Neurospora crassa OR74A: one gene and its partner. The protein of the gene in region 1 interacts with the protein of each later gene in a pairwise test. Links are inferred from orthologs where the notes say so. Each region holds a gene or a part of one and is shown in the gene's direction. Other genes may lie near its edges.

Region 1 (16,378 bases):
GGCGTCCTTGGAGGGACCAGAAGATGAATTTTTGGCCACTAGCTGAAGACCAGCTCGAGCATGGGCGGGCACCAGCTCGTCCACGCTTTCTTCGTGGTTGCCAGAGAGGACATCATAGAGAGCAGCAAGCGACTCATTGTTATGACCGGTGGAATTCACCTCGTTCTTCACAAATTCTTGAGCGACCCGCTTATAGAGGTCAGGGTTAAGGGCGTTGGCCAGCAGGAAGGCATGGCCCCAAAGCCGCTTATCGACCGCAGCCCACACTGCCTTCTCATTGTCGCCACTGATGAGGTGGTTGCGGATCTGCTCAACAGCAGAAGAATCAACCGAGTCGGCTTGTAGTGAAGTCGTGGCAGAATTGCCCATTCCTGATGGGTTCAGAGCATTTGCGAACTCAGGCTGACCACCAATGGTTGAAGCCTCCGGGTACAGGATTTCGCGCACAGCTTGGTTAACGGTCGGGTTTCCTTCCAACACGCCATCATGCTCGACAAAGACCCTCAGAATCTTCCAAAGCAAGAGTCTCTCTGTTGTCCGCTTGTCATCGTGAGACGGGTTGAGCTGATGAGACAGGTTATGTGGCACAGTCCTCTCCAGCATCTCAATTCCGTTTGTTAACCAGGCAATGGTCTCCTTCTTCTTCGACTTCCCCTTTAGAGGCCCAGGGAATTTGGCCAAGCGCTCCTCCATTGGCTCTATGTCCTTCATGCTCTTGACCTTGACTTCTCCTGGGCTACGAATAACCATGGGGGCTGTTTGGCCCATGCCATATCGTGGCACGTTCTTGGGGAACATTGTTACCAGAGCTCCACCTACGCCCCAGGAAATGAGAGGAACACCACGCCATCTCTGTAGGGGATCATGTTCTCTACCATCTGTCGGGGGAACTAGGTTAAAATTCTGAGTGTTACCACGCGGCCGCGAGGTAATCGTAGAAATGGGGGGGAAAGTAGAACTGGGTTGCATGGTGATAGGAGAATACAACGCAGCCCGCGGCGAAGTCGCGTCAGTGACCGACGAAGGACGAGGGATAGGTTCAATAGGCTTTACATTCCTGTTCCCGTAGAGGGCACCAGGGGATTGAGTCTGCGACCGAGGTGGTGGCGCGAATTCGTGAGATGGAGCACTAGCCGCAGGCTGATAGCTGTATGCCGCCCTCTGAGGGGACGTCACCGGCTGCACAGTTAGAGACTGCGGAGGCGGTGTCCTTCTAGAACGGTGGGGCATAGCGCCATGTCTTGACGCCGTAGGAGAGGTCTGGTGGGATGCCGGGACTTGGTTGGGGGACACCATACCCTGCATGGGGCCTTCTTCTTCCACCTCCTGAGTCGGAGGTAGAGAAGGCACTCTCTGCAGTCGCAAGTCGTACAACGAGCTGCTGCTCCGCTTTTCCGCCAGGCCACTTTCTGCATGGCTAGAAACAAGAGGCCTGGACTCGAAATGTGCTAGCGGACTTGAGGTACGGGGTTGATGCGGCAAAACCGGTGGTAGAACCGGTGGCACCGAAGTAGTCGGAGTATAACCCGAACTCGTTGGCCGAGAAGCTGGCGGGGCGGGAGAGTAACGGCTTGCCGCAGCAGGTGGGACGGGAGTGCTGAGCTGTGACCCACTGGAAGGCGCTGGAGAATAACGACTTGAAGCCGGGGCAGGAACAGCGGGAGCAAGGCTCGTAGTGCTGGGCTGTATCGAAGCATAAGGGTTGACACGTGGCGGCGCAACCAGGTTGGGAACCTCCGCATGCTGGGTAAAGGAAGAGTTGGGAACAGATCCCATGGCAGACGGCATTCCAGGTACTGGTGGCTGCGAGGCGATAGAAGGTGGGCCAGCCGGGGGCGGTGGGCCGTATGGGCTAGACTGTGCCGGCGATGCGGTGCCCAATGTATTTCGAGAAGCTGGGCGCGCCTTTGTGACCACAGGAAGCTCTTCAAAGAACTTCTCCTTCGGCTTGGCTTCACCACGAGGCGGTGGTGGCTTGACACCAGGCTGAGATGAGTGTGGAACAGAGGTAGGAGGTGGTGGAGGAGGCAGGTGAGTAGCGCTTTTGGAAGGCGGTGGAGCGGCCGGTGCTGTCACAGGCTTGTTAAGAGTTGCCGTACTTGGGCGCTTCTTAACCTTGACTACCTCCATAGGAAGGTCGTACGGTGACTGGTAGCCGCCCTTCTTGTCGACGAAGCTTTGGGCTTTCCTCTCAATCTGTGGCGGAGGGACCGCGCCGTATCCAAATCTCCCGCTTGGAGGTGGAGCCGAGACAGGGGCGCCAAAGGGCGTAACAGACGGCGTCTGCGCAACCGCGCTGGGTGCGGCAGGAAAGTAAGGATTTGACGGCGCCGAAGTTAGGGGTGGCGCAGTCGGGGCATAGGGATTCGGGGCTCCGGTCAGGCTTGGAGTTTGGGTCTGAGGCATGTACCGGGTGGTAGGGGTTGTCGTGGTGTTGGAGCCAGCTACGCTAGGCGCTCTGGGCTGGGTTGTTTCCTCCATTGTTGGGAACTCTTCCGAATCGTCGAGAAAGCCCTCATCATCACTCCCAAAGAACGCAGCCGGATCAATCTCCTTCTCCTTGATCTCATTCGACGCCTCTGTGGAATCATCAAGAAGCGATAGGGTGTCCTCTTCATCGTCAGCAAACAGTTCCTTCCACTTGGCCTCAACGTCTTCGCCTGCTGGCTTCTGCTCCTCGTGACCTTCACCTGTGTTCAGATCTGTACTCGTTATCTCGGGATGGTCGTGGGTTTGCGTCTCTACCGTGGCGACGGCCTCTTCCTCGGGCTGCTCTTCCACTGGTGGGAAGCTTGGCTGGACGGAGCCCATATCCATAGCGCCCAATACTTGCATCGTCGACTTGCGTTCGAGCGGCTGCGCCTCAAAGTCAGCTTGGTTGACGCTCCCTTGCTGAACCTGGCTGAAAAAGTCGTCCTCATCATTGGCATCCTCTCCTCCGAATAGGTCCTTTGTATCTTCCCGCTCGGCTGTCGAGTTTCCATCATGTGCGATCAGGGGAACACCTTCTTCAAAACGGGCATCAAGCGCCTCAGTGGCCTTAGCACCTAGGTCACCAACCATGTACTGCTGAGAATTGTTCGCGTCTTGGGCGCCAAACTGATCAAATCCATCGTTCTGTGCCTCAGACAACTGGCTGAAGAACCCATCATCGCCCTGTACCTCGACCTCATCGTCATCACCAAGGAAATTTGCGACCTGGGGCTGGACAATTGCTGACTGCTCCAAATGAGGATCGGTTTGAGGTTGCTGCTGCTGCTGCTGTACCTGCTGTACCTGTTGATTTTCTTGTTGCTCTTCCTGCTGTTGCTCGTGCTGTTCTAGGGGAGGAACAGGAGGAAAAGAGTTGGTTCGGTCGCTCGATGGCAAGAACTTGAAGGGATCCGTATCCGCTCGCGCGAGGTTCCACTCAGGATCGCCGTCATCGCTCCAGCTCGGCTCATGGGGAATGGTTCGAGTGAAGGACATCGTACTCGTGTGCTTGGAAGCGACATCCGATGGCTCGTCTGTATCGGCCTTTTCTGTAGTAGTAGCATCGGTAGGCTCCACATGTTCGGGGACGAGGTCAACGGTGGCAGCGTCTCCTGGGACGGCCTCGGTAGCTTGCGCGTTCTCTACGATGGGCTCGGGAGCTTCGTCCGTCTGAGTGGGAGCTGGCTCGACAGCTTCAGCATCTTCCGTAGTTACATGTGCGGTCTCGGTCTGTTCGGTAGCGGTATCGGGGGTGTCGGTATCAGTTTCACTGGTTATTTGGCTCGTAGCTTGCGCATCAGTCGCGGGTAGTGTCGTATGACTGCCTGTTCCATAGTCGGGAAACCAGGAGTCAGAGGCGCCATTCTGGGCGGGCACGTCCTCTTCTCCTCCATCAATTCCCCAGAAGTCGGAGCCATCTTGGGCTACACCGTTCGCATGATCTGTTGAGTCGGCGACGGTGTTATCAGTCGGCAAGGGGGCCGGGAGGTCGGCGGCCGATTCTGGCATGAATGCCGGGTTCCATGAAGCCATGGCGGGCGATTAGATGGCGCGATACAGCTGGGGACGCTGTATGGGCGCGCAAAAACACAAAAAAAATATTGAATTACTGTATATAATAAGTAAGATTAGTACATGAAGAAGGGGAGAGAAGGTGGGAATATTTGAAGATGGAGAAAGGGTAGTATTTGTTGTTGGCCAGGAGGAGCTAGCTACAAACAGTAGAAGTGGGAAGTCCAGGATGGGGCGAAACTCGACGGGATCGCTTGATCGCGTAACGAACCGAACGGCGATTGGCGACGGGATTGAGAATGGGGAGCGGACCTGGGCAACTGGGCTGCCCTGTTGAGGAGGAGCCTCAGAGGACTGCGGGCAAGACAACCCCTGTTCAGCAGGCCCAGAGTGCGCAATTGTCGAATGGGAATGGGAATAGGGGCAAGCAAAAGGGACGACTAACTTGTACAAGTAGGTTCAGCAGCTGATCATGGCTGTCAACATGAGGAAGAAAGTCTAACGCCGGCTGGATTTCGTCAATGACAAGGAAGAGGGCAATGCTGTCGTCCTGTTTGTTACTACAGATCTGGGAAACGTTGGGATGGAATGGTCGATCACACGTGGGAAAGGATCATAGTATGAGACTGCGCGACTGCAGAACCTCAATGGAAGGCCAAGTTCAGTTGTTGCAACTTGTCAAGATCCAAGACTGTGACGATGGAGGCGCACCGGGAGCGGCCGTCGGAAGATTCCTGGGAAAATCCGCGGAAATCAAGACACAGAGGTCGCAGAAGGTTGACTGCTGCCCTGTCTGCACAATAGTACACTACGCTACGTGGTACATTTAGGCGGTCTGATATATGGATGGCGGGGAATGCGCGGGGATCTCTAACAAAAAACGTTACAACAGCTGTCCTTCCATGTTACATGGATGGGGAAGCAGTATACCTACTTAGCTTATCGGCCTGTCCCAGTGTTGAGAATATACTCAGTTATTTAGGTGAATTCGATGGATGCCGGTAGGTACTGCTTTAACAGATAAGCGCGCTCAGTCCCTCCTCCAGCATCATCACAGCCACTGCACGAACTTGGACGCACCAGGAGGGAGCCTGTCATCGATGGGTAGGTAGGTACCTCTAGAGTGGAGGTACGAGGTACGGTATGAAGAGCAGGCCGCGCACACAGTCCGATCACTGCCACTTTACCACCACTTTCAGTTCAAGTTGTTAGTTTCCGTTCCGAGTCCCCGTTTGTGACTTTCTTTCCGTCACATGCCATCGTCATCTCTCAGTTCCCTACCTCTACCTAGTTGATGTGCCCGCGGACGACTTGATGAAAACATTGTACGAATCACTACCATGACTGGACTATTTTCTATCGAGTAACTTGACACTATCTCGACTCCCGTCCCCTTGCAGGCGCAGCACACCCGACCCCAGAAGCACGTAGCACCCAGCAGCAAGACAGACGCACCTAGACTACCAACCACGGCCACTATGGGAAGGAGGAGTTGATCTCGACACCACGAGGACCCTCCCAAGTGACCCCTAACTCAACCCAAACAAACCAACCACAGATCCGAACGCAGTCGCGACCACAGCCCAAGCTACCCTTAGCTACAGTTAGGCCGCGACAGATCAGACAAAAAAAAAACAAAAAAGGACAACACGACTCAAGAGCATACGCTATCTAGCTGTGGAGGAAAAGGGCTTCGCCCAATGCGGAATGCCTTCTTCAGACACATACCATCTCTCCAAGCCGCCCGATTCCCACGTCGTCGATGAATCCGACTCCGACTTGGAGATAGACCTCGAAGAACTCGACCCCCAGGCAACCGACCCCAATAACCACCACCAGTCCTTGGGGCAACACCGCAGCCGCAACTCGTCCGAACAACGCCCTCCTCCCCCAACAACAAGTATAGCACTTCGCAATCTTCGCATGGGGAGTCTACGCCGTGGCGCCAAACGCAATGGATATGGCGAGCTAGGCCGTAGCCGGGACGGAAACGACGACGACGACGCCGACGCTCTGCTCCGCCATGATCGCCACTCGGTTGGCAGTGCCACCCACGACGAGGATGCCGGCCTCCTCAGCGAACATGGTGGTGGCGGCCGAATACGCACCAGCAGTGGAAGACGACGGAGGTCTTTCGCCGGTGACGGTCTTCGAAACATCTCGATGAAGCTACCAGGCTTCATGTCGGGCGACCAGAGCAACCATAACGACGAGCAGGAACAGGAGGAAGACGACCCCTCATCGTCACGATTAGTTGCAGTTGGCTCATCCCAGTCTACCCGCTTCCCACCCAACATCATATCCAACGCAAAGTACACAGCATGGAGTTTTCTGCCAGTCACTTTGTACAACGAGTTCTCCTTCTTCTTCAACATGTACTTCCTCCTGGTCGCCCTCTCCCAGGCCATCCCCGCACTACGAATCGGCTATCTCTCCACCTACGTTGCACCCTTGGCATTTGTCTTGTTCATCACCCTAGCAAAGGAGGCTTACGACGATATCGAACGGAGAAGAAGGGACAACGAGGCGAATTCCGAAGAGTACACCGTTCTGCAGTTCGACGATCCAGGCGCTAGTCTAGGCATCAACCGGCCTAGGAGGAAGATGAAATCGTCTCATACACGAACGGGCTCTAAACGTCTTGGCATTGAGCAGGAAAATGATCGGCTATCGGATATCCAAGAGGAGGAAGAACAGACTGAAGGTCGGGGTCTTCGCGAATTGCCGGCATCCTACCTATCCGAAGTCAGCAAAAAGTCGCGGGACCTCAAGGTCGGTGACGTCTTGAAGCTTACCAAGGGCCATCGCGTTCCGGCAGATGTTATCATTCTCAAGTGCTTGGCACACGAATCAGCTGCCAACAAGGAGACCGAAGAGCAAGAAGTACCCGCGAAGGAGGAGATGCTGCTCCTGGACCATGTCGATGATGACGATGTTGGAGAGGGCAGTTCCAAGAATGCGAAAACGTCCAAGGAGAGCAACAATAATGGCGCCGAGGGAAGCTCTAGCGGCGAGACTTTTATTCGGACCGACCAACTGGACGGTGAAACTGATTGGAAGCTGCGGTTGGCGTCCCCGTTATCTCAAAACCTTAGCACTGAGGAACTAGTTCGTCTCCGTGTCACGGCCGGAAAACCTGACAAAAGGGTCAATGAGTTCGTCGGAACATTGGAACTTCTTCCTTCGCGACAAGATGTCATGAGCGGTGCCGCCTACAACCCTAGGGAGGGCGACGATGTCAAGGCAGCGCCTCTCTCGATCGACAACACGGCCTGGGCGAATACGGTCATCGCATCGAATGCGACAACCCTCGCAGTGATTGTTTATACCGGACCTCAAACCCGGTCAGCCCTGTCTACATCACCTTCGCGATCAAAGACCGGCCTTCTAGAGTATGAGATCAACTCACTCACCAAAATCCTTTGCTTCCTGACGCTCTTCCTGTCTATCGTTCTTGTTGCGCTGGAAGGCTTCAGCACGGCCAAGGGAAACATCTGGTACGTGAAGATCATGAGATTCTTAGTGTTATTCTCCACCATCGTCCCCATTAGTCTCCGTGTCAACCTGGATCTCGGCAAGTCTGTCTACTCATGGTTTATCCAAAGAGATCCTGGGATTCCCGGGGCTGTCGTGCGAACCAGCACGATTCCGGAGGATCTGGGACGGATAGAGTATCTACTGAGTGACAAGACGGGCACTCTAACCCAAAACGAAATGGAAATGAAAAAGATCCACGTCGGCACTGTCTCGTATGCCAACGAAGCAATGGATGAGGTTGCAACCTACGTGAAGCAGGGGTTTAATCTGAGCTCATCGGCCTCTTCCGCAAGCTTGGCTTTGGCAACCCCGTCTTCAACATACTCGGCCGCCAATGTTGGTGCCACGAGGACACGCCGAGAGATTGGGTCGCGTGTCCGTGATGTCGTACTAGCTCTTGCCCTCTGCCACAACGTTACCCCAACTTCGGAAGAAGACGAGAACGGTCACACCGTCAACTCATACCAAGCCAGCTCGCCTGACGAGATTGCCATTGTAAAATGGACCGAGTCCGTAGGCTTGCGTCTGGCTCACCGAGATCGCAAGAACATCGTTCTCGAATCCGCCGAAACCGGCCGGCCAGTGGTCAAGGTTCGTATTCTCGACATTTTCCCCTTCACTTCGGAGGGCAAGCGCATGGGCATCATTGTCCAGTTCTACGAAAAGCTCCAGCCCGGGAACCCCAGCCTCGGCAGCAGCGAGATTTGGTTCTACCAAAAGGGTGCGGACACTGTCATGAGCTCCATCGTCGCTGCCAACGACTGGCTCGATGAGGAGACGGCCAACATGGCGCGCGAAGGTCTCCGCACGCTCGTGGTCGGCAGGAAGCGTCTGTCTCTGAAGGAATACCAGGAGTTCTCGGCCAAGCACCACGAAGCCTCGCTCGCCATCAGCGGCCGCGAAGCCAACATGCAGGCTGTCGTCTCGCAGTATCTCGAGCATAACCTGGAACTGCTTGGTGTGACGGGCGTCGAAGATAAGCTGCAAAAGGACGTCAAACCTTCTCTAGAACTTCTTCGAAACGCCGGCATTAAAATCTGGATGCTTACAGGCGACAAGGTCGAAACCGCTCGCTGCGTCGCCGTGAGCTCCAAGCTTGTAGCCAGGGGTCAGTACATCCACACGATTGCCAAGCTCAGGAGGAAGGACGGCGCGCAAGATAATCTGGACCTGCTCCGAAGCAAGACCGATTCCTGTCTGCTCATCGATGGAGAGTCCCTCGCCATGTACCTGACCCACTTCCGACGCGAGTTCATCTCCGTAGCCGTGCTTTTGCCGACCGTCGTGGCCTGCCGTTGCTCGCCTACCCAGAAAGCCGAGGTCGCCAAGCTAATCAAGGAGTACACCAAGAAGCGCGTCTGCTGTATCGGGGACGGTGGAAACGATGTTTCCATGATCCAGGCTGCTGACGTGGGCGTGGGTATTGTGGGTAAGGAAGGTCGCCAGGCTAGTTTGGCGGCCGACTTTTCCATCGAGCAGTTTCATCACTTGACCAAGCTTTTGGTGTGGCACGGTCGTAATAGCTATAAGCGCAGCGCAAAGCTGGCGCAGTTTGTCATTCATCGTGGCTTGATTATTGCTGTCTGTCAGACTATGTACAGTATTGCTCTCAAGTTTGAGCCGGAGGGTCTCTACAAGGTACGTTTGACTTGGCGAGTGATCCCTTTCGTTGCAGTCGTAGTTACTAACCTAAACAAAACACAGGACTGGCTGATGGTAGGCTACGCAACAGTCTACACCGCATTCCCCGTCCTCTCTCTCGTCCTCGACAAGGACGTAGACGAGGACCTTGCTAACCTGTACCCCGAGCTCTACAAGGAATTAACCTCGGGTAGCTCTCTTTCCTACCGGACGTTTTTCGTTTGGGTCTTCGTCTCCATCTATCAGGGCTGTCTGATCCAGGGCCTGTCTCAAGTCCTCACCGGCATCGATGGCCCCCGCATGTTGGCCGTCAGTTACACGGTGCTGGTGCTCAACGAGCTGCTCATGGTTGCGATCGAGATCACGACGTGGCATTGGGTCATGGTGGTCTCGATTGTGGGAACCTTTCTGATGTACATTGTCTCGATACCGTTTTTGGGGGATTATTTTGATTTGAAGTTTGTTTTGACTTTGTGAGTGTTATTACCTTTTCTCTCTCTCTCCCTGGGGGTACTACCGTATCCCTTTAAAAAGATTGTTCACTAGACTGACTGACCAAAATAAACAGGGGCTTCTTATGGCGCGTGGCTGCTATCGCTGCTATCTCGCTCATCCCGACGTATGCGGCCAAGGTGATTAGGAGGACGATGAAACCGCCTTCGTATAGGAAGGTCCAGGGGATATAAGAGTTAGATGTGGGCAAAAGAAAGAAGAAGAGGAAGAAGAAGAGGCTTGAGCTGGGATGGGAGGCAGTGGATTGGAATTGAAAAAAAAACACAGTGTCGAGGCTGGCGTCTCTTGTTTTTCTCTTTGTTGACTTTTATACACACTAGACGTCCTACATACCTCTACACAGTTGGTATAGCGCTGATACTACCATTGGTATCTCAACATCTCCAGTGCTTGTTTTGCCCAAGCGTTGGTGTGCATGATGACATTGTTCGCTAAACCATTCAAAAGATGGACGCGGGGCTGCTTGTATTCGTTACTTGGGAGTGTTCACTCACTATTGTGGGTATGCTTAGCGATGTCACGGTGATCAAGAAACATTCAGCTTTGATCGAAATTGAATTCAGCTATGAAGACTTTTCACGAAGATCTCACAAATCCTTACAGGCTAAGTAAGGTACGCAGATACCTAGGGGTCTACAAGGGCAACCTCAAAATCTCACCACCCTGCTTGATCCCGCCCCTGAACAGCTCCTTGATCACGTTCCCCTTCTTGATCGTCTCCTGCACAATCCCCTCCACATGCTTCGGCTCAACCCTACCGTACCAAATGCCATGTCCCGCCAGTGGATGCGGCACGTCCGAGTCATCATAAGACTTCAAGCCCGGCGGGATATAAACAATCACGTTGCCCGCAAATTTGTGGCCACCAATGTGGCTAATCAGTCCAACTCTTGCTCCCCAGACCCCCTTCTTTTTCTCCAGGTCCACCACGGCCTTCTCAGCAGCGCCCTTCAGCACTTCAATCCCCGGCCCTTGTTGTTGTTTTTGTTGTTGTTGTTGTTGACCTTGCTCCGCCAGCCTCGTCTCAAACTCACTCCTCAACAGAGGCCCGTACACCCCACACCGCTGGTCCCGCCCGCCATGGCCGCAGATGAGAACAATCACCTCGTTGCGGATGTCGCGGACCCCGCCGGGTAGCATATCACCGTAGCTGGGATCGCGGAGGAGGGCCTCCCGCTTGGCGGGCGGCGAGTGGTTGTGCACGGGGTGCAGCTTTTCGGGAAGGAGGTGGGCTTTTACGAGGGCCTTGACGTGGTTGGGGTCGGAGGAGAGGGAGGGAACGTATTTGAAGTCGGGAAGGAGGTAGATGGATGTTGTTTTTGGGGGGGTGGTGGTGGTGTTTGTGGCCTCCTCTTGGTCGGCGGGCGAGGAAGACGCAGAAGAAGGAGACGAAGAAGATGGGGGGAAGGAGACGTTGAGGACGGAGATGTTGTGGAAGGGCTGTTGATGGGGGAGGAACAAACCTCAAGGGGGAGGTGGGAACTTACCTGTTAGCCATTACTGCTTTCTTTTTTTTTTTTCTTTTTCTTCTTCCCGTTGGATCCTCCACCATCTCCTTTAACTGTGACTGGCTGGACCTTCCTTTCCATGGGCTTTTTGGTCAACTCACATCGCTATAGGGACCTCCGCGGCCAATTAGATCACGCAGCATGGCGGCATGGTTTTGGCCATTGTCATCGTCCTCGATTTTGGATGGCCAGTCGTCCTTGCCAGTGCAGATTAGGACTTGCTGAGCGTGGTTTGGCATAAGACCGTTAAGAGGCGTGGTATGATCGATCTCGAAGCCTTCGGGGAACGAGGGAGTCGGGGCGCATGAGCAGGTGGGCGATGGGCAGGTATCGATGGTCGGGAAGGCCGCAGGGGCACCTCTTGCTGCGTATGTGCGCCGGAAGAAGGGGGCTACATTACTGGAGCGTTGAGCGCAAGCCCGCGTCGTCGAAGCGCTCAGGGCTGCGGTTGCGACTCGTGATGTTTGGCGGAGAGGTCGGAGGAGGAGCATGGTTGTTATTTGTGCGGATCAAATGCGCAAGGAAGACCGTCTGACCATGTAGGGCCCAATTCAGGGTCGGAGATGTCGTCTTTTATATCCCTTGTCGTTGTCGCAAATGGAGTTGGTGATGGATGATGGTGCTTAGTTAATTTATGTCAGCGGAGAGTTCGGAGTTACGAGTGCTTACTGTGTAACTACAGGGGTAACTTTTGGCGTCATCGAAGTGGAACAGCTTATCGTAGCTTTATCTGATTAGATAACGATGTATTGCATGCACCTCTAGAAGTACCATAGCGCGCACACGGTATCTGTAAAAATGGTCTTGGGTATGATTTCAATGCAAGTGGATTCTTTTTTTATAGAGGGAGCATTTTGCAATATAAAAATCATACCAGGTATGATCGCTTGGATAAAATGATAAAATTTGAAAAAATAATTTTATATACAATATTATTTTTACATTAAAATCATCTCCAAGATGCTTTTGTATTGAGTAGATTTTAATATATTAAATTTGCTATAAGTAAAAAGACTATTTTAAATTTATTTTACAAGCCTTTTTCAAAAAGAGTAATAAATAACTTTATTATAAGAATTTCCTAAATAACTTATTTTACACTTTTATACTTATAGTAAATATTTATTTTTACACTTAAAATCCTTATTAAAAATTTTATATTTATATTACTTATGGTATATAGAATTTTACATTGAAAGTTTTGATTTATAATATTCAGAATAAAATATATTATCCTTTATAACTTCGTAGTTTTAAAATCCTTGGACTTTTTTTATAATTACTTTTTGAATTACTTATATTATTAAAAGAATTAAATAACCCTTTAGAAATAATTATTTAGCTTAGTAGCTAAGTGGTTAATGAAGTAGTTCTTCATCGTTAGGTTCTTGTTCGATTCCTTATTGTAGTTGAAATTTTTATATTTATTCTTATTTCTAAACTGTAAAAAAATAGCATTATTTAATAAAGGTTCCCATACTCTAACCTTATATCTTATTCTTTTTTAATATTTATATAAGTTTATAAGTTAACTTCTTTGAAGAAAGATAGTCCTAACTGATATAGAACAAATTCAGCTTCCAAAATGAATTTAATTAATAAAAAAAAGTTATCAAAAGGTAAATCTTCTAGTAAGGAGATAAATATAATTATAAATTCTATTCTACATTAGAAAAAATTTCTATTTCAAATTTATCTATTATCTTTATAACCAATTTTTACAGTTTATCAACTTTTACTCAAACTGATCCATGGATACGTTTCAAGACAAAATATCTTGGAAGTGTAAAATCATAACAGAGATCATTTTTTACAAGTAGGGTTGCGCGCTATGGTACCTCTGAGTTCCTCGATTGCACCTTTCGGAAATGGTACCTCATCAGCGTCAACCGACTTCAACCGTCGATTTGACTTTGGTCGTGTAAACATAAGACTCCAGTGAGTGTGGCTCACCTGTTCGGGCTTCTATTACGATCTTTTTCTCTGGGCATTGGTCAATCTCACCAAATAGGTCAATAGTAAATATCAGCCATTAAAATAATAAGCGTATTAATTTCTCTACATTGACATCCATTCGCACCCTCACCTTGATGTACAGAAGAAAATAGCACCAAGAAGTCTCATAACGAGTTTGTGACCTAGAAGACAACCTTCGTAACATCTCCCGGAAAACTATGCCCCGAATCAAACCTCAACTCTTTTGGCAAGGCCGCAAAAAACTAGGTCTTAACGCCGCCAAACTTCTTCCCGTTTGTCGAACCCTCGAATCAACCGCCAACGAGCTCCGCTGGATCAAACAGCATGTCGCCGAAACCCCTTCCATCATTCCCTTTGGTGCCCGAGTATGGAAGCTATGCGACAGGCGAGGCAAAGGTCTCCCTTTGGCTTACGTGCTTGGCAACCAGCCATTCGGTGATCTCGAAATCAAGTGTCAACCAGGGGTGTTGATTCCCAGGTAGGTACATTTGCATGTATTCACTCAATCATCACTGTCTCGTTACTTTCTCCTCGACTGTTGTTAGCTTCTCTTCACTTACCGACTAACTAACACTCTTTTCCAACCAAAAAAAAAGAACGGAAACAGAATCCTACACCATCCACCTCTCCAACATCCTTCGCCACTCTCTTTCCAGTTCCAAGTCCGAATCAGATCCAGATCAACACCAACCCCTAAACATCATCGATCTATGCACCGGCACAGGCTGCATCCCACTCCTCCTCTACTCCCAACTCTCCCGCTCTCTCCCTCTCCAGTCCCTAAACATAGTGGGAGTCGACATCTCCCAAAAAGCCATCAACCTCTCCCGCCAAAACCTGCACCACAATCTCCATGCGCACCGCTTCCCTCGCCCTTCCAGTCCCAGAGATAAATCCCATCCACAAAGATTGCTCCACTTCCACAAAGCCGATATCTTCTCTCCTACCTCCTTAGACCCAATCCTCTCCACCCCTTCATCATCATCCACTTCCTCCTCCTCCTCCTCCTCCTCCTCCTCCTCTACAGGTACGGGTGAATGGGACCTCCTGACCTCCAACCCTCCTTACATCTCTCCCTCCGGCTTCGCTCTGTCCACCTCCCGCTCCGTGCGCAACTGGGAACCAAAACTCGCTCTCGTCCCGCCCGTCGAGCGCGTGGATTTACATCAGAAGCATTTCTACGACCACTGGTACTACCCAGACAACGAAATCCTGTTACAAACGGTGGAGTATCAGGAAGAAGACGTGTTTTATGCACGACTGCTGGAGATTGCGAGGACTTATAGGCCGAAAAGGGTGCTAATGGAGGTTGGGGACATGGAGCAGGCGAAGCGGGTGGTGGGGATGGTTTTGGGGGATGGGAAATTGAGGGGACTTTATTTCGGGAATGGGGAAGTGACTAGAGGAGGAAACGAAAGGGGGGCTGGGGCAGGTGCGGTGCAGATCTGGAGAGATGATTTGGTGGGGTTTGAAGGGTATGAAGAGATTATGGAGGTGGGAGTGGGAGTAGATGGACAAAAACAAATAATTGTAGTGAAGGGTCATCCGGAGGGACATGGGAGGAGTGTGTATTTGAGGAGAGTTGGGGTGGTTGATGATGTATGAGGGACTGAAGAAAGGGATAGGAGGTGTTAACAGCAAGTTTTTTTCATCTTGAATACTGTGGACAAGTTGGAAATGAAAGAGGAAAACTCAATGAACGCACATGAATATTACTTGAGCAACATCGATCACGACAGAAGGTGCAAAAAGCTCAATCACCCAAGAGGCTTGGGGGAACGAACCACCATGCTCCGAGAGACCTACGAAAACTTTACCTCGGTAATCACGCACAACGGCAATGTTTCCATTAACAGGAACCACTGCACCATACGACCACCGCAGGTTCCATTGTGGTACAGGGGCTAGGCAACGGACCTCATATGGTTGCCTGGTGCTGGTGGATGGGATGAAAGGGCACAGGCTCGGGCTCAAAATAGAAGTTGTGTGTAGGTTGGCAAGGTACGAAAGTATGGATGATGACTAGCGGCTGATCAGGATTTAGTTCTTTCGTCTATATTATCCCTTCTATCCAGTACTCATCAAAACTTTTGTCTAGTTCAAGCTCTTACCCTAATCTTACAGTAACCGAGTGTACAGATACAAAGAATATCTACCAGGAAGCAGAGAGCAAACAAGAAACTGCGATCTTGCTCTTCCCAGCCCTCTGCCCCAATGCTGCCATCCCCTCTTTTCCACGATCCTCATTCTCCAACTCCGAACAAGCCAACCCAACTCACAACTTCAAAACCATCCACTCCTCCTTGTTCACCTTCCCCTTCTTCATCAACTCACCCGCCACCCCCGCCACATGTCCCTGTCTCTCCAACCCTTCGGACCAAGCCTTGGGACCAGCGAACCGGGCAATGAACCCATCCGGCCCAGAGACCATTAGGAGGTTCTTGCCATTGGCAGGAGAAGCGCACTTGCACCGGGCTTCATGGTCCTGCCTGTCGCTGACGTTGATCAAGGCGGAGGAAGAATGGAAAGGACAGGAAGGGTTTGTCGTGCTTTTGGTGAGGGATGTGGTGGAAGAAGGCGACTTTGGGTTGGGGGTGGTGGACACAACAGCGTCAAGAATAGTCTTGGCGTCAATAAATTTCTTCTCCGTGTCGACTGTGCAAGCGTAGTTGAACTGCTCGGGGTGATGGGCTTTGATGTCCTGGAGGTAGGGCATTAAACCACCAGCAGCGGTATTCTTAGCGTTGTTAAGAGAAGGTGGTAAATACCCCCTCTTCCTCAACGCCTCCAAGTCCTCGCAATCCGGACAATCCTCCCTGAACCTATTCGCCCACACAATCGTCATCTTCGGTGGTATGGCAGGCATATCCTCGATTTCCTTCCATTCCTCCTCCTCCTTCTTCCCGTTCCTCTTTTCATACACGGGGCCGTATAATCTCCTAGCCACCTGCAGCGCCGGCGCAATACCAGTACCTCCCGCTAGGAAAACCACCCGCCCCCCTTGCTCTTTTCCACCACCGTGACCAGAGCTGTTGGAGCTTTCCAAAGAACTTGAACCAAGCCTCCTCGCAACATCAAACCCCAAATGCGGTCCCCTCAACTCCACCTTATCCCCCACCTGCAGCTTACTCAAATAACTGCTCACCTCCCCGCCCTCCATCTTCCTAATCAAGAACCGCAATCGTCCCCTTTGCATCTCCTCTCGTTCCTGCCCCACC
Region 2 (16,440 bases), on another chromosome or scaffold:
CTTATCATCCCTTCCTCTTGTTTTCCAGCCGTTCGATCTCGTTGCCATGCGAAGAGTCCCGACCCGCTGGAGTCAATGACAGAATGGGTCCATGATATGGCCTTCTTCTTTTCTGTTGTGGTTCGATACGACCTGCCTGCCCCCGAAATCTCCCCTCGCACAACAGACACTCGTCTGTTCCCTTAGCATCGACGTGACATTATTGATCACAGCTGCAAGCGCTTTCTGGCAAGCATGTATTCTCCTGACCCCACGATACTCACCCATCACCATCACCCGTGTTGCATCTTCGCAGAGACATAGAAGTAGTCGACGCCCGGGCATCGCAACTCAATCGAACCCCCACAGGCCGTTGGTAGATCGAAGTAACAACAGAACTAGCACAACTACTGGTGGCATCGGTCTTTCAAATGTAGATCCTGATCTAAAGCGTCGAACTTCATGCTGGTATATACTTGTTGTCAGCGCGTTGTAGACATGCAGGTTCTTGGATAAGGCCGGGCCTCACCCATTCGGATGTAATAGAAAGCGACATGATCAGTTCACTGTCCTGAACGGTGCCAGCATCAGGCCTCACAACGGCTCTCCGACATTTGCAGTGTCATAGTAGTAGCGATGAAATATCCGAACGTGGCCGTATCTCTTCCCCACGTACCGTGCAATTGCGCTCGAATACTGAACCCAGCCACAATGAGTGCTGGCTTGGGAACGACAGCAAAGCTCCGCCGAAGGGGTCCGAAGCTGACAACTGAAAATAGCGAGGTGAGATCTTGGTGGAGCTATACGCAAAACCAAGATCCTACCGGTTCAGCTCATCAAGCGTGTCAGCTTATTAAAGGACACCACTCGCAGCGCATACCTCGTATGAAATGACTGCCATCGACATGGACTCGTGGCGGCAAGATGTTGTTCAAATTGCCCGATGGGGAAGACGGAAGCACTGCACTACGGCCCCGTTCTGCCCGCCCATTCACCCAGTGGAGTTTCGGTCCCTGAGACCATGAAGGAACGGCGTGACGGTACGCGGCACAGCAGCCCAGGGCGGCACAGAAAGGGTGTTTCTTGGCTTGCGGGGAAAGCTGTCCGGATTCAAAGCTGCCCATTCTCTTCTGATGGGACCCCACGCACTGATGCAAGGTGGCCGTTACTACGGGGCGGAAATAAAAGGGTTCTGGTGCAGGAACGGATGGGATTGTTATTGAGAGAAAAGGTACCTCTATGGCCAGCTCTTTGAGAAGGTCCAGCCATCATGTTTATGTTTAGTTAGGTTGGCATATCTCGTTGTATGATGTTCACTTTCCACTCACTATTCCAACCCATTTGCGACGAAAATGGGAAAACATGGAACGGTAGTAAATCTGTAATGCAACATGGGACTGATGATCCGATATGTAATCAACAAACAGCATAATGCCACCTGTATTCAGGCTTGAATAATGAATGGCAAAAATCGCCGCCCCTGGCATCCGAAGGATCCCTTTCATCCTTCGTTGACAACAGTCCAGTCTCGGGGTTGTTCTCCGCCTCGCGGCCGACAGCCGCGAGCGAGCTCTTTGACCCTGGCGCCCTGCAGCACCACTGCAGGTGCCGCCACTGACCACTCAGCAGGCTCCAAGGCTGATTGCCCACTGCCCGGCGTGTATCATTTTCGTAGCGGCGGAGAAGACACCTGTTCACTCGACCGACAGAAAGCAACCTGGCTTATAAACACGGGCTGGAGATAACACATTAAAAAGCAGATCCCCCTTCTCGCCTTCACCACCCGCCTGCCTCTGTTTCCGGGACATTTTCCATCTTCAAAATTTCAACTTCTCTCAGTCACCAGTTCTAGTTCTTCCCAAATCCCAGGCCCCTTTTCTGCCTTTAAATAGCCCAGAGTAAGTAGTACCCACTACGTACCCACGTTTGCCTGTGTACTGCGGCCCCGCCAGAGCTACGACCTTCCCGTTGAGCAACCTAATCCATTCACGACCTCCGTGCTCCGTCCTTCCTGTTCCACCATACAAACCTCCACGACGGCTTTGAGAAGCAACCCAAAAGAACAATATCCAAGCATCATTCTTATATATCAACTTGCAAATCTAACTCCGCTTTCCCAGACAGCCGGGAAACGTAAACATGCACGCACCTACCAAGTTTGCCCTCGGGCTTCTCGCGGCGGCCGCCGTGGCCACTGCCTCCGATGTTATCCAGTTGAAGAAGGACACCTTCGATGACTTCGTCAAAACCAACGACATTGTTCTTGCTGAATGTAAGCTACCCTTGAGATTCAGCTTCCTATGTAGGTAGTTCTTGCTAACAGTCTTGCTCTTCAGTCTTCGCACCTTGGTGCGGCCACTGCAAGGCCCTTGCCCCCGAATACGAGGAGGCTGCTACCACCCTCAAAGAGAAGAACATCAAGCTCGCTAAGATCGATTGCACTGAGGAGTCCGAGTTGTGCCAGCAGCACGGCGTCGAGGGCTACCCTACCCTCAAGGTCTTCCGTGGCCTCGAAGTCGTCTCCCCCTACAAGGGCCAGCGCAAGGCTGCTGCCATCACTTCCTATATGATCAAGCAGTCTCTTCCCTCCGTCTCCGAACTCAACAAGGACAACATTGAGGAGTTCAAGAAGGCCGACAAGGTCGTCATTGTTGCCTACCTCGATGCCGCCGACAAGGCCTCCAACGAGACCTTCTCCAAGGTCGCCGATAAGCTCCGCGACGAGTACCCCTTCGGTGCCAGCAGTGATGCTGCTCTCGCCGAGGCTGAGGGTGTCACCGCCCCTGCCATCGTTCTCTACAAGGATTTTGATGAGGGTAAGGCCGTTTTCACTGAGAAGTTCGACCCCGAGGCCATTGAGAAGTTTGCCAAGACTGCCTCCACCCCCCTCATCGGTGAGGTTGGCCCCGACACCTATGCCGGCTACATGTCCGCTGGCATCCCCCTCGCCTACATCTTTGCCGAGACCCCCGAAGAGCGCAAGGAGCTTAGCGAGGCCCTCAAGTCCATCGCTGAGGCCCAGCGTGGTGTCATCAACTTCGCTACCATTGACGCCAAGGCTTTCGGTGCTCATGCCGGCAACCTGAACCTCAAGGCCGACAAGTTCCCCGCCTTCGCTATCCAGGACACCACCAAGAACCTAAAGTTCCCCTTCGACCAGGAGAAGGAGATTACCGCCGACTCCATCAAGAAGTTCGTTGATGACTTCGTTGCTGGCAAGGTCGAGCCCACGATCAAGTCTGAGCCCATCCCCGAGACCCAGGAGGGCCCCGTTACTGTCGTCGTCGCCAAGAGCTACGACGACATTGTCCTTGACGACACCAAGGATGTTCTTATCGAGTTCTACGCTCCCTGGTGCGGTCACTGCAAGGCTCTCGCTCCCAAGTACGATGAGCTTGCTACCCTCTATGCCAACTCGGATTTCAAGGACAAGGTTGTCATTGCCAAGGTTGATGCTACCCAGAACGACGTTCCCGATGAGATCCAGGGCTTCCCCACCATCAAGCTCTACGCTGCCGGTGCCAAGGACAAGCCCGTCGAGTACTCTGGCCCCCGCACCGTTGAGGATTTGATCAAGTTCATCTCCGAGAACGGCAAGTACAAGGCTTCTCCCCCGGCTGAGGCTGAGGAATCCGTTGCCGCTTCCGCCGAGTCTGGTTCCTCCACCGAGACTGGCACCGTCGAGGAGCCCGCCAAGGAGACCAGCCACGACGAGCTCTAAAGGGTCAGTCGAGACGAGACATTAAGTATTTAATAGCATCATCATTTATGGGTTTTACTGGGAACAAGGGTCTTTCGTTGGGCAACAGCACCTTTCGGGAAAGAAGCGGCCTTGTACGGATCTGGGAGTAAGATACCAAAAGGCATGTTTGTAAGGGAATTCAATATAGTCTATCAGTTGTTAGCGGAATCTACAAAAACACGCACAAGATATAATTCAGTCATGTGTTTCTTCATTCGTGATGAGTTGTCAATTATCAAGTCGTTTCCTTTGTTCTATTCCTTCCTCTTTGTCTGTCCAAGCTTGCACCTTGAGGGCCTTATCGCGATCCTTATCAGTTTACAACCGGTTGACGGCAACGACCGAACCTCGAGGACACGTCCACCGTAACAAGCCGATTGACATTCTGCCTCCACACTCCGCCCGTTTGTTTCCCTCTCACTGATTGGCTCAATTGCACCCACCACCCAAGACCCCTGTCATGCCGTCACAACCTTTACTTAGCCGTTCCCGCGGGGTGCCTGCCCCGTCTGGCGATACTGACCTGACGTCGTTTCAGTTCCTGGTTCGGTTGGTTTGGGTTCAGTCCCAGCTTCCATCTATCACACCCGTCGCTTCAAACATCGCTATTTCCCCTTTCCCCAAACGAACCAGCGAATCGATCGATACCAATCTCCTCCCGCAACTTTGAAATCCCCGATCGCATTATAGCGAGTACTACGACGAACATCTCAACGACCGAACGAATTTGACACAATCGCAATCGCAATCGCATTCATAAACGCGGCTCCAATTGGACCAAACGAAGACAGACATTCACACCATACAAAACGTAAAATGGCCTCCAGAGTCCTATCCGCCGCCTTCCGTCGCGGCTTCCAGACATCAGCAAGGAGGTTCGAGTCTGTCGCTACGACCTCCAGCGCTGGACTTCCCGGCGCGGGCGCGGTGCCACCGCTGCCTGCCAGGAAACCTGTTGGTGCTTTTCGTGGGGGGTGAGTTTATTCATCTTGGGGGTTCATTTTGGATTTGGAATTCGCTGAGGTTCGGTCGGGAAGTTGTGGACTTGGGGATGCTACTGGATCGGGTGCGCGGTGCGTGGAAAATGGGCGAAGGCAGCAAGAGATGATCCCGGAAACGACCAAAGAAGGGTTGAATAGGGGAAATCCATGGGAATGACTGGTCATTGGGATGAGACGGGATGAAGATGTGACGGAGGATTGTACGTTTGGGGCTGGAAGGAGACAAGCAGCTTGAGGAAAAGCTGGCGACAACGACGAGAAGGGGACAGGTTTTATACAAGCCCCTGCATAGACACGAGGAATGCTAACCCGCCGATCATGACACAGGCTTTTCGGCTTCTTCTTCGGTAGCACTCTCGCCGGCAGTGCTGTCTACTACTATGCGCTCCAAGAGTACAAGGCCTCGAACGACCTCTTGACGGAAGATATCTACGTAGGTGGACATACAACAACATGATTAGATTAAGAGATTGAAACATTGCTGACATTCGAAAACACAGGCTCTTCAGAATGCCGTTGACAGGCTGAGCAAATACCTTGTTACCTTGGAGGAGAAGATGGAGGCGTTGGAGAGGAAGAGGAAGTAATCGATATCTTGCGGATGAGGAAGGAATACATGAGAAGTTTGGGGACATGGGCATATAATCAACCGTTATGTGAAGAACAAAAGAATAAGAACTAAGGATGCGGGATGGGGTTTTATTGACATCAAAAGCTGAAGTGCGAAGTGGTGTTTATTTTTCATGGTTTGAAATTGGAGGAGAGCGTGCTCTGGTGGCAATCGGACGGGAGCTTTCGCTGTACATCGAAATTGGGCTGCTCGAAGCCAGAAGTTGGAATCGACAAGGAAGAGGTTTTCTCACCACTGGTACCTAGACACTCAAATACCGGGCAATTCTATGGGTAAACATTCAATAGGTAAGCATGATCACGACTCTTATCACCCTGTCGAGGTACCAGACGGGAGCTCTGAAACCGATGTTCAAAGCTCAACCCACAATGAGCTCTCCCATTGGATTTCCTCGTAGACTCGTAGACTAGGTGACCCTGGGCTTGAGTGGACGCTCAGGGGTAGCTCTGGCAGATCCAGTGATCTCGCGCCGTTTTATAGCAACCCCGGACCCCGGCCTAGCGCTGTAAACGCGCCACGCGGTTCGGCCCATCTAAAACTTCCCTCTTACATCACCATTTGAACTTTGGTCATCGCGCCTTATTGATCTCGCGATAACGCACGTTTCTGCATCTCTCCAACACCCCAAACAGACACAAACATCATGAACAATTTCGGCGTCATCGAAGTCGCCAGTCAAAAGACGAAAAACGCCCCAGGATGGGCGTACGTCCCAGATACCGGCCTTACGCCCGCCGCGGCCGCTGCGCTACAACCTCTCAACCGCAAACGTGCTGCGCGCGACAAGGCCAATGTCGGCGCTCCCGATCTTACTGCCAGGCAGGATGCGAAGATTCGGAAGGATCTCGAGGCACTGGACAAAGATTCACATAGGGATGCGCAGATTCCCATACCGCCCAAGGCGGGTGGGACTAGAGGTGCGCAATCATCCGAACCTTTTATCCTGAAGAGACTACGGAATTGACATGGCATGGTGTTGGAACAGCCCAAAACAAACACACACCGAACGTGCGCAAGATTCTACAATCACAAAAGACCTTTGCGAACCACTTAGATGACTTTCAAGCCTTCCTGGCACTAGCCGAGAGCAATCCTCAACTTGCAGCTCATGTAAACAAACCAACACCGACGACAACAACAACAACAGCAACAACAACAGCGAGGAACTCGCCCGCTCCATCGACTATCACCACCGCAAGTTCAAATAAACGCTCCTCGGCCGCTCCCAAAAGGGCAGCAGCGACAGCAGCAGCAGCAGCAGCAGGAGCAAAAGAAGAAAAGGGCGGGTCCCACAAAAAGCTCAAGACCCAACCACAACCGAAAGCCGTCGCCGGCAGCGACGATATAGAGATGGCCGATGGCCCTGAAGCCACAGGAGAAACCATAACCCCAGACTCCTCAGAACCATTTCCTCCCCCACGTCCCGACACACCAACATCCCTTGAGCCCTCAACAACAGCAACACCACCACCAACAACAACAGAACAACCAAACATCCAATCCTACCCACCAGACGGCACCATCCTACCAGCCTACAACCGACCACCACCCACTCCCCACCCAGGCGACGACGACCCCCTGCTCGTCTCGCGCGTCCCTCCCTTCCCAACGGACGAAGAGCTCCGGGCGTTGATAACGGCTCCACCGCTGAGCTACCTCGAGGCGCGGGCGCAGTGGACCGAGGAGGAGGAGGGCAGATACCCGGCTCGTAGGTTTTGCGAAGTGTGTGGGTATTGGGGACGTGTGAAGTGCATCAAGTGCGGGGCGAGGGTTTGTGCTTTGGAGTGTCTGGAGGCGCATCGGGAGGAGTGTTTGGTTAGATATGGGTTGTAGGTTTAGGGTTTCGAGGCAGCGGGAAGATAAGAGGTAAGGTGGGTAGGAGATGTGGAAGCAGAACTGAAGGATGTGTCACCTCGGCCAATGGTGCTCATGGACGAGTTACCATTGAGGTCCGTCTCTACTGAAGTCCTAATCTGAAAGGCCGTTGACACGCGATCAGTATCATGCAGTACATGGAAACAGAAATTGGAGAACCGAAATGCAGGCTCAGTCTTCTCTTCTGGAGTGGAATTTGATTCCCTTGGCCGAGACGAGTTAAGGGCAACTTGACTCTTTCAGCGAGGCTTAGAGAGGAATGAAGGACCTCTACTGTACAGTTCACATATTTTGATGATGGAAGCATTGCACTGAAACACCAAGCACCCGTTGTTGAGACTTCCACTTTGAGCAACAGTACTGGCAAGCAACGCCGCATCAACAAGCATCGATATAAAGCCCATAAACTGGGTTCACAAGGGACAGGGTTGCCAGGAGACTCTATCGAGTTATTGCTGGAAGCGGCTGGAAAGAGGCTACTTCCCACACCCAGCACGAGCGATAACTCTAATGCCTTCATGCCACTCCCCGTCAAGTCCCGTGGTGGTGGTGTTCACTTCAAGAATGCCCCTGGCGAAGGGCGGGAGCGAGTCATCTTTGCTTTGGACCCCCATGTCAGTCACTACTTATAGTTATAGCTCCTCCTCCAACGGTGATCGAGCAAGTTCCGTCGCCAATGGCTCTGACAAACGAAGAGACGAAAAGGAAGGGAAGGACGGGATGGACGGAAAGGTTGGAAAGGATTTGGTGATGGGTTGGTAAAGCGCCAACACTCCGGGATTAAGCTCGAGTCCCAGGACTGGATGGTATGGTAACTTAACGGGTGGTGAAAAGTTCGGATTTTGATTTCTCGGCTTTGCATGATGGGGTCGAGTCATGTGTTTGCAACACTTTTGCGCAGTTCTCCTATATGTTTAATTCACCTTTGAGTTGAGGGAAGGCAATACCTTAATCGAAACCGATGAATGGCTTTATGATGTTAATGGCTTTAGCTGGATACTCTTCACTATATCTGCTTTTCAAGGATGGATGGAACCTTTCCAATACCGCTATGTCGGACAAAGATGATCCCATGAAGGACACTATGGGAAGATAAGCATTGGGTTATGGCAAACCAGGGAGTCAGATATACACTTGGGTTTAGGGACGGGGTAACAATCTCCACCTGTCCAAAAGGCAGAAATAGTGCGACTTGGGAGGTATTAATACATATGTGAATCATGTCTGTCCATATGGTTTGAATTAAGGCTTGAGTAAACAGAAGCAGAAAGCTATGAGTATCATACAATCGAGTATAATACCGAAAAAACATTATGGAGAACTGAAGAGCAATGAACTATCTTTAACAACCTATACGAAAAAAACAACCGATATATATGTGTGGTATCTCCCTAAATGACCAGAATCAACAACCCAGGAAAGCAAACCGAAACATGCCGTACACACCAGAAAACCATTATGATACCCAATGCTAATTCGTTAATATGATCATCAAAACACACCACCCCCAATGATAAATAACCGCTCCTCCTCTCTCTTCGCCCATTGCACTACCTTGTTTGCGCACTGTGTCATGATTCCACTCGACATATTCGGTCCCGCCACGCAGTAGAACTCGAACACGGGCGTGATCCAAGCCAGGCTCGCCGCGTCCTCGCTCACCAGATGCAAGACTTTTAGGTGCGAGTGCTTGGCATGAATCGAAGCGTGTAAGTGGTGGTAGAGCGTCATTAGGCGGCGGCGGGAGACTAGTTTTTCTGTCGTCTTTTGGGAAGAACCGTTTTCAGAGGGTGAGGAGGAAGGTAAAGGGGGGGACGAAGTTTCGAAAGCAGGAGAGAGACTGGATTGGCAGAATTGAACATTTGCGCGGGATTTGTAGAGAAAGTGACTTAGTTGCCCTTGTCCCTGGCCTTGTCCTGCTTCCTTGGAGAGGGGTTTGGTGTTCAAGATGGTCTCAATACGCGGCCGGCCTTGACGGGCTGCGGATTGGATGAGTGCCAGAGAACCGTTCTTGGCCAGTTGAAGGGCGAGTTTGTCACGCATGGATTTGAGTTCGAAAAAGGATTCTTTATCGGCGGAGATGAGGATTATGGCAATTTCTTCGTCTGGTGAAGTCACTGGTTTTGGTGGTGGTGGTTGTGGTGGTTGTTCTGGATTGTTGGTGTTGTTGCTGTTGTTTTCTTCCGCCGTCTCTACCGAGTCAAAAAAGCTCACATACATGTAAAGATAACCGCGGTTGTTAAAGGCTGGTAGGCACAGCGGTACCCAGTTCTCGCCGCCGCCGGCGCGGATGCCGCCGGATTCAAAGAGCATGTTGAAGATTAGCTGGAGGTCGCTTGGGTGGAGCGAGTGTTTGCGCGGCCGGATCACGCTCACTAGCTTGCCCCCGGCTACGATTAGGCCGTAGAGCAGCTTGTCGCTGCGGCACTTGAGAAAGGCATTGTTGATGGTGGCCCGGTGAGATTTGCGCAATCTTAGGCATTCCAAGGCGCCGAGGAGTGCAGAAGGAGAGCCCTTGGTGAAGGAATCGGCGAGGGAGGAGAGGAGGGATTCGGTTCCCTCCAATGGCTTTCGGAGGTCGGTTGAGGGACGATGCACAAAGATGTTCTTGAGGGTCGGAAGTGTGAGTGTGGACAGGATCTGCATATATAGAGCGTCTAGTTGACTTCGAAGCTGGGCATCGCTCTCGCCTAGTCTGCTGATGGCCACAAAGTAAAGGGGGCCTTGAGTGCTGATGACGAAGCGAGCGTTTCCGGCGGTGAAACCTAGTAGGGGGTCCTTTGCGCCTTCGTAGAAGGAGATGATGGTCTGTACGACTCCCATGTAAGAGTTGATCAGACTTGTATCGCCGTGTCGACTCCAAATGGGCTTTCCGGCGGAGGACAGGATCATGTAGTGTTTCATCTTGGATTTCCAGAGTGACAGCCGCTGCTCGTCGGTGATGCCCTTCTCGCCTAGTTCGGGGATATTATCGAACTCCTTCTCGAACCCGGTCAAGCTGTCGCATGCGCCGGTCCTGCTGGCCTCGAAGGGCTGCACAGAGGATGACTGAGTCCTCAGCATGGACCATGCCCGGCTTCGCCTGTTAAACTCGCCGGTGACAAGATCTGCCAGGTCGCCAGGTGGACGGAGGGTTGCGGGATAGCTCGCGACGCTCACAGTCTCGACCAGGTCAGTGCGCGGGGAGGTATAACCGCTGGCGCTCGACTGGGGCGAGGCCACGGATCTTGTCGCGCTCGTCGCGCTCGTCGCGCTCGTCGCGCTCGTCGAGAAAGTGCCGCGCGATCCATCGGGAAAGGACAGAGTAGAGATATCGATGGTCGACACTTGGGTGGTGGGCCTGGAAGCGGCCGCTACATGTAGGGCTCCGGATGCGCCATCGTCCGACAACTTGGGACTGGGACGGCGCGGTACGGGAGGGACATGATCGACCGCTTCGATGTTGCTTTCGGGGGTGTGAGGGGGTATGGTTGTGTCGTTGTTGTCGTTGGTGCCATCGTTGCTTCCGGCTTCAGTGTCCCGGTCCATTGTTGTGAGTAAGACAGTGGCAGGTCGGCGTCGACAGGTTCACCGATGTCGAGCTGGTCGAACTGGGCATTGTCGGACGCTTTCGTTCACTCTTTGGTTATTTCCGCTGGCTTATTCGCAAGTCCGCTCCATGGGGGATGGAGATGTCGGGGATCTGTGGTCCGAAAATGACGGAGTTCGGATGAGAGATAGGTGGAAGTGGAAGAAAGGGGACAGAAGGACCCGGAAGAATGACGACAATGAGAGCGGTCACACATGCCATCCCCCTGTACGCCAGAAGGGGGAGGGGTTTCAATCGCAACTCGCAACCGCCAGACCTTCCAGAACCCAAAAATGTTAGCGATAAGATAGCGGGCCGCTCCTGCAGCTGGATGTTAGTGGGGAAGATCAGTGATTGGATGGAACCCCGTTAGCGGGTGCAGGCAACGGCAGGGTGGGAGTGGTGCGCTGACGAACAGCATCAACAGCGCTGCTCCACTGTGTCTTACACAGATGCCCACCCTAACAACCTAACCCACAGCCTCACTGTGACACCCGACCGTCGACACCTAGCTCCCGCCTGCTGCACCTCAACGTCCAGTCGTCGTCACCAACGACACGGGAACCTCGAACTGTCTGTTTGGAGTGGAAGCTACCTCTACCTCTACCGTGACATCTTTCAGTGGAGTTCTCTTCGGGTACCTTTGCGACTCAACACCAAAGATACCACCCATCCCGTCCCCCGTTTCCCGTCGCCCCCTCCGAGACGGCAATGACCTATAGCAGTCTGCCTAGATCAGGGGACGTCCTGTTCTCGAATCCCTAGACTCTCAAGGTCTCCTCCTCCCACGATCGCCACCACCCGCCGCCAACCATGTCTCTTGATCCTACCCGGCCGAGGTCCATCTCCCCCGAGAGCTCTGGCCGCGAATCTCCAGTACCCAAGCAATGGAGGAACCAGCTTGGGAATGGTATGTTATGTTCCTCTCCCTCCCTTGAAACATGCCCGCTAGAATACAGCTAGCAGGTAGCTAACCAGGTGATGGACAGACGAAGTTGCGCCGAAGGACAAGAACTACCGCAAGTACGCTTCCGGCGTCGAACGAGCTCTCTCGCTGTTCGATACAGCCCTCCAAGAATGGGCCGACTACATCTCCTTCCTCAACCGCCTTCTCAAGGCACTCCAAGCTCGACCGTCCACCATCAACACCATCCCCGCCAAGGCTACCGTCGCAAAGCGTCTGTCACAATGCTTGAACCCGTCTCTTCCGTCCGGGGTTCACCAAAAGACGCTCGAGGTCTACAATTTCATCTTCACAGTCATTGGCAAGGAAGGTCTGTCGCGAGACCTGCCACTCTATCTCCCCGGCCTTGCGTCGGTTCTGTCGTTCGCCTCCCTTTCCGTCCGGACCCCTTTCCTCGACCTACTCGAACGCCACTTCTTGGGTGTAAACCCGCGATCCCTACGACCTGCCTTGAAATCGATCATACTTGCTCTTTTGCCAGGCCTAGAGGAGGAAACCAGCGAGGACTTTGAGCGCACATTGAAGCTTGTGGAACGCGTCAAGGCCGCTCTCCGCCCACCAGAAAGCGAGACAATAACGCCAACTCACTCCTCTGGTGACGACTTCTTCTGGCAGTGTTTCTTTCTGGCTTCCATAACCGGGCATAGCAGGAGGACGGGGGCCTTGGCATACCTTATGCGCGCCTTGCCTGAACTGGGACATCAGTTACATTCAGATGGCTACAAGGCTGACACTCGCAATGGCTTGGATCCCGAGGTTTCTGCCAAGTTGGTACAGCTGGTAACGTCTCCCGAGCCAGGATTGCTGATCCGCTGCTTTGCTGCCGGTTTGGCCGATGACCAGATCCTTATTCAACGTGGCTTTCTTGATTTGCTCGTTACCCATCTTCCGTTGCACTCCAAGGTGTTGCAAGCCAGGGCCAAGACCGACGACCTAGAACTCCTCCTGAAGACCGCAGTTGGGGTAACGACCCGGAGAGATATGAGTCTAAACAGGCGGCTGTGGACCTGGCTCCTCGGCCCCGAGCCGACAGCTGCTCACGAGGGCGAAGGCGGCCCTGATTCTCCCACAACTACTGCAAGCACCCCTGCCTACTTTATGTCGAGGACCAGCTACTTTGAAGAATTTGGGTTGCGACCCCTGACTCGGGCCCTACTCGGCATGATTAAGGCTAGTAGAGTTGGGAACAATCCGGCAGACCGGGCGAAGCCATATCGTATCTGTCTTTCCTTGATGGACAGGTGGGAAATTGGCGGCTTGGTTGTGCCTGAGGTATTTCTTCCCATTGTTGACAGTGTCCGAGACTTCAAAGCAAAAGCAGACAGCAAATCAGACTTCACCGAGGTGCTCCGAAGTGCAAGTGTTTTCTTTGACGGAGTCGAGAGCGGGTTGATATACAGCGAAATTCTCAACCTCGTGGCGCAGGCTATCAGTCCTGGCAAACTCTCAGTGACTGATCGTAGCGACAAGCTTGACCTTGTCAAGTTCATTCTCGGCCATTTCAACGTCAGCGAAGAAGAGATGATAACCATTCATGCTCCGCTTACGGTGCTCTCCATCTTATGCATGATCGAGGAGTTGAAAGAGAGTGATGCTTATGCGACCACTCTGCTACCAGACGGTACGACTTTGTTGGTCCAGGCTTTAACAATAGCTGCAAGCTTGTTGGAGCTCGTACCAGAACGAGCGTTCCCGACGAGCGCAAAAGCTAAAGCTATCGAGTCCAAGGTTTTGGCCGGAATCCCGAATGTTGAACTGCTGAAGAAAATCAAGAACTTCTACCACGCCGAACAAGGAAACTTGGACGCCACCTCTCCCCCATTTGTACCGCAGAATGTGGCGGAACTCTTGTTGCAAAAAGCTTGCGACATGAACTGTGAGAGTTTCAGTCAACGCGAGTCCGGCCCGACTGTCGCTGCAAAGAGCAGAGTTCTCTTGCTTCTTCTCACCAAGACACCTCACAGATCGTTCCTCGATACGAAGAAACTTCTTGCTTCCATTCACGGGTGTCTGTCATCAGATGCTTTTATTACCTTTACCACCTATTATTCGCTATTAACCCTTTCTACCCACCTTTATTCTGCCGACCGGATTTCCCATGTGGACCTCTCTGAGTTGGTTAGTCCTTTGGTACGCCACGCATGGAGCTTTTTATCATCGTCAGAGCCGAAGTACCACGTTGAGACGGTCCGAAGTCTTTGGTTACTCCAGACGGCACTGACACCAACCAATCGAGACATCGAGGCAGCCATATGTTCTCTAATGCTGGAGAAAGATGTTTCAGGGACATTTATCCAACGTCCTGCCGACCCTGGAAGAAGCTTCAGTGTGCTCTGGTCGCATAGTCTTCAAGATAACCCCTCTGGAAGCGATCGCCGAGGACCCAAGACCCCCATCTTTGACGCAAAGGCGCCGCCACGTCTTGGTGGTATAGATAATTACGAAGTCATGCTTACCCGCCCGTTATTCCTAATGTTAGATGCCCTCACCGATGAGCGGACGCAGCTGTTCATGACAGTCAAGAGTTGGCTGAGCAGCCTAGTCGGGATAGACAAGTATGACCCCAGGCCTTCTGGGTCACAAGTCACAGCTTGCTAACGCCTTTGCTCCCAGAATTTTCAACATCTTCGTGTCCAAGTTCGCCGAGCTATCATGTCTGAGGCGCCAAACAACCTCGGCTGAAGCCAAAGAGGTTCATAAATTCTCCGACGAGGATGATGTGGAGCTGGCTGTGTATTATCTCCGCTCCTTATCCAATGTCTTTCGCTTTACCCCTGATAGCATTTGGGCGTTCCTTGCGAAAAAGACTATCCGCCCAGATTCTTACTTCCCATCATTATCCGAGATTAGTACGTCATCATCCCATTCGGGCATCTTGTACATGGAAGCTAACCAGATCAGCCGGATCCGAGGATGATCTGACCTTCCAGGAGTTTTTCCTCAAGGTTGCCATGCAATGCATGGCAGACGTCAACACTTTGAACGACGAAAGCTCTCAAATAAGGGTGACACAGCTTTATCGTTCAGCATTGGGCGTAATGCATCCTATCCTGGTGAACCCCTATGCTGAACCACTAGCACAGTTGCACCTTGAGAACCCTCTCATCGATATGCTCACCCAGTCGCTTTCAGGTCCGGAGCCTTACGTCCAGACCTTGCTTTTGGACGTTGTCTTTGCGGCCCTCAAGCTACGTGAGTTAGCACCAGTTGAACTTCCAGAATCACCAACCGCAGAGAAACGTGCCGCAAGTGTTACGGCAGACTCGGCTAAAGCCTTCCGAGCTGTGGCTGGAGGGAAACCACCATCCGTTCTTCAGCCGCCTCCACCCACGCTGCTAAAGTGTATCCTTTCCGGACTCAGTGCACCTAGCAGCCGACACGTCTTGGATAGCTGGATTAGCTTTCTTGCTGAGTGCCTACCGCTTTACTCAGATTCAATCTTTCAGGTCCTGATTCCCTTGGTCGAGACACTCTGCAGTCAAATTTCCACCACCTTCAGCCGCTTACAGCAGCTCTTCCGAGCCTCCGACGAGCCTCAAACGCACAGTCAGATTGGTCCCGAGACTACCTTAATATCCCTACTGAATGGCCTCGAGCAGGTACTGGCAAGGGGACACGACAGGCTACTGGCTGAAGAGGCCAGAGCCCAGGTTGTCAAGAACCCAGACCAGCCTCAAGGCTTTTTCGGCAACATGGTCTCCGGTGTCTTCTCATCCGACACACCGCAAACCCGGAGCGCCACAGCTAACGACCGACTTACCGTCCTTTTGGCCTTCCAAGATGCGGTGCGCATCTGCTTCAAGATCTGGTCCTGGGGTCAAGGGAGCGATGCCTCCCTGCAAGACAACTCTTCGGGCGCTTCGTTTAACTACACCTCTTTACGGATGAGAAACCGAGCGCGGAGGCTCCTTGAGCATCTTTTTGCTGCTGAGACGCTAGAGTGCTTGGAAACGGTGATTGGGATATGGAGGGGTGCACTGGATAGTTCTGATACGTCCAAGGCTGCCGAGGTGTTCAATCTCTTGCCTGCCCTTGATGGATCGCGGCCGCAGCATACAATCCCGGCACTTTTCAACGCTATATACAGCAGGACTAACCCGGGCGCGCTGGATCCCTCAAGGAGGTCGACCCTTACTATCGAGCTGCAGGATACAGACGTGGTGATTTTCCTGGTTGACTACGCACGCACTCTGGAGGATGATGCGATGGATGAAATATGGCAGGACTGCATGATCTTCCTGAAGGACCTCCTCGGCAACCCACTGCCCCATCGCCAGGCGTTGCCAAGTTTGCTGGAGTTTGCTGCGATTCTGGGTGAGAAGGTGGACAACACCAACTTTGGAGAACAGAGGAAGATGCGTCGTGAACTGGCGGATCTCTTCCTCCGTCTCCTGGCGGCTATCTTCACTACACGGCCAACCAGCTTCGTGGAAAACTCTTCGACAAGCTACTCTTCATCCACTACCAACCTTCTTCTCTCGGAAAAGAAGCCAAATGAGGCCCCTCGGACGCTTTCCGTAGCAGCCAGCCGGACTCCATTCGAACGCGCAGACGATGTCGTTGGGATCCTCTCCAATATCGTTCCCAACCTGCCCAAGATCCTCGTTGAAAATGACCGCATCCTCACGGCTGCCACCTCCATCTCGGCCAACGTGATCGGCCCAACGCTGCGGTCCAAGT

What was found.
Region 2: the proteins of NCU03818 (region 1) and NCU09219 interact in binary tests that used the Saccharomyces cerevisiae proteins (3 or more experiments, as listed by UniProt). The link is inferred for Neurospora crassa OR74A from reciprocal best matches to the Saccharomyces cerevisiae genes NEO1 and DOP1.

What each region holds. Positions count from the first base shown.
Region 1 is NC_026505.1:2,502,520-2,518,897, reverse strand, and holds NCU03818 (phospholipid-translocating P-type ATPase), read left to right. Parts: upstream 1-5,239; 5' UTR 5,240-5,691; coding exon 5,692-9,159; intron 9,160-9,225; coding exon 9,226-9,635; intron 9,636-9,730; coding exon 9,731-9,848; 3' UTR 9,849-10,217; downstream 10,218-16,378. Other genes in the region: NCU03819 (COPII coat assembly protein sec-16, variant 1), read right to left, coding at 1-4,005; NCU03817 (FMI1 protein), read right to left, coding at 10,309-11,115, 11,285-11,674; NCU03816 (hypothetical protein), read left to right, coding at 13,358-13,638, 13,757-14,765; NCU16968 (cytochrome c mitochondrial import factor), read right to left, coding at 15,436-16,378. UniProt on the Saccharomyces cerevisiae protein: Flippase that catalyzes the hydrolysis of ATP coupled to the transport of lysophosphatidylserine, phosphatidylethanolamine, and phosphatidylserine from the lumenal to the cytosolic leaflet of the Golgi apparatus membrane and ensures the maintenance of asymmetric distribution of phospholipids.
Region 2 is NC_026501.1:5,887,251-5,903,690, reverse strand, and holds the start of NCU09219 (dopey domain-containing protein), read left to right. Parts: upstream 1-11,271; 5' UTR 11,272-11,609; coding exon 11,610-11,706; intron 11,707-11,785; coding exon 11,786-14,315; intron 14,316-14,373; coding exon 14,374-14,609; intron 14,610-14,661; coding exon 14,662-16,440. Other genes in the region: NCU09223 (protein disulfide-isomerase), read left to right, coding at 2,119-2,251, 2,316-3,700; NCU09222 (hypothetical protein), read left to right, coding at 4,538-4,695, 5,050-5,155, 5,223-5,309; NCU09221 (HIT finger domain-containing protein), read left to right, coding at 5,997-6,270, 6,339-7,186; NCU09220 (vacuolar fusion protein mon-1), read right to left, coding at 8,720-10,756. UniProt on the Saccharomyces cerevisiae protein: Required for traffic between late Golgi and early endosomes, and for the normal structure and organization of the endoplasmic reticulum. Required for normal cellular morphogenesis.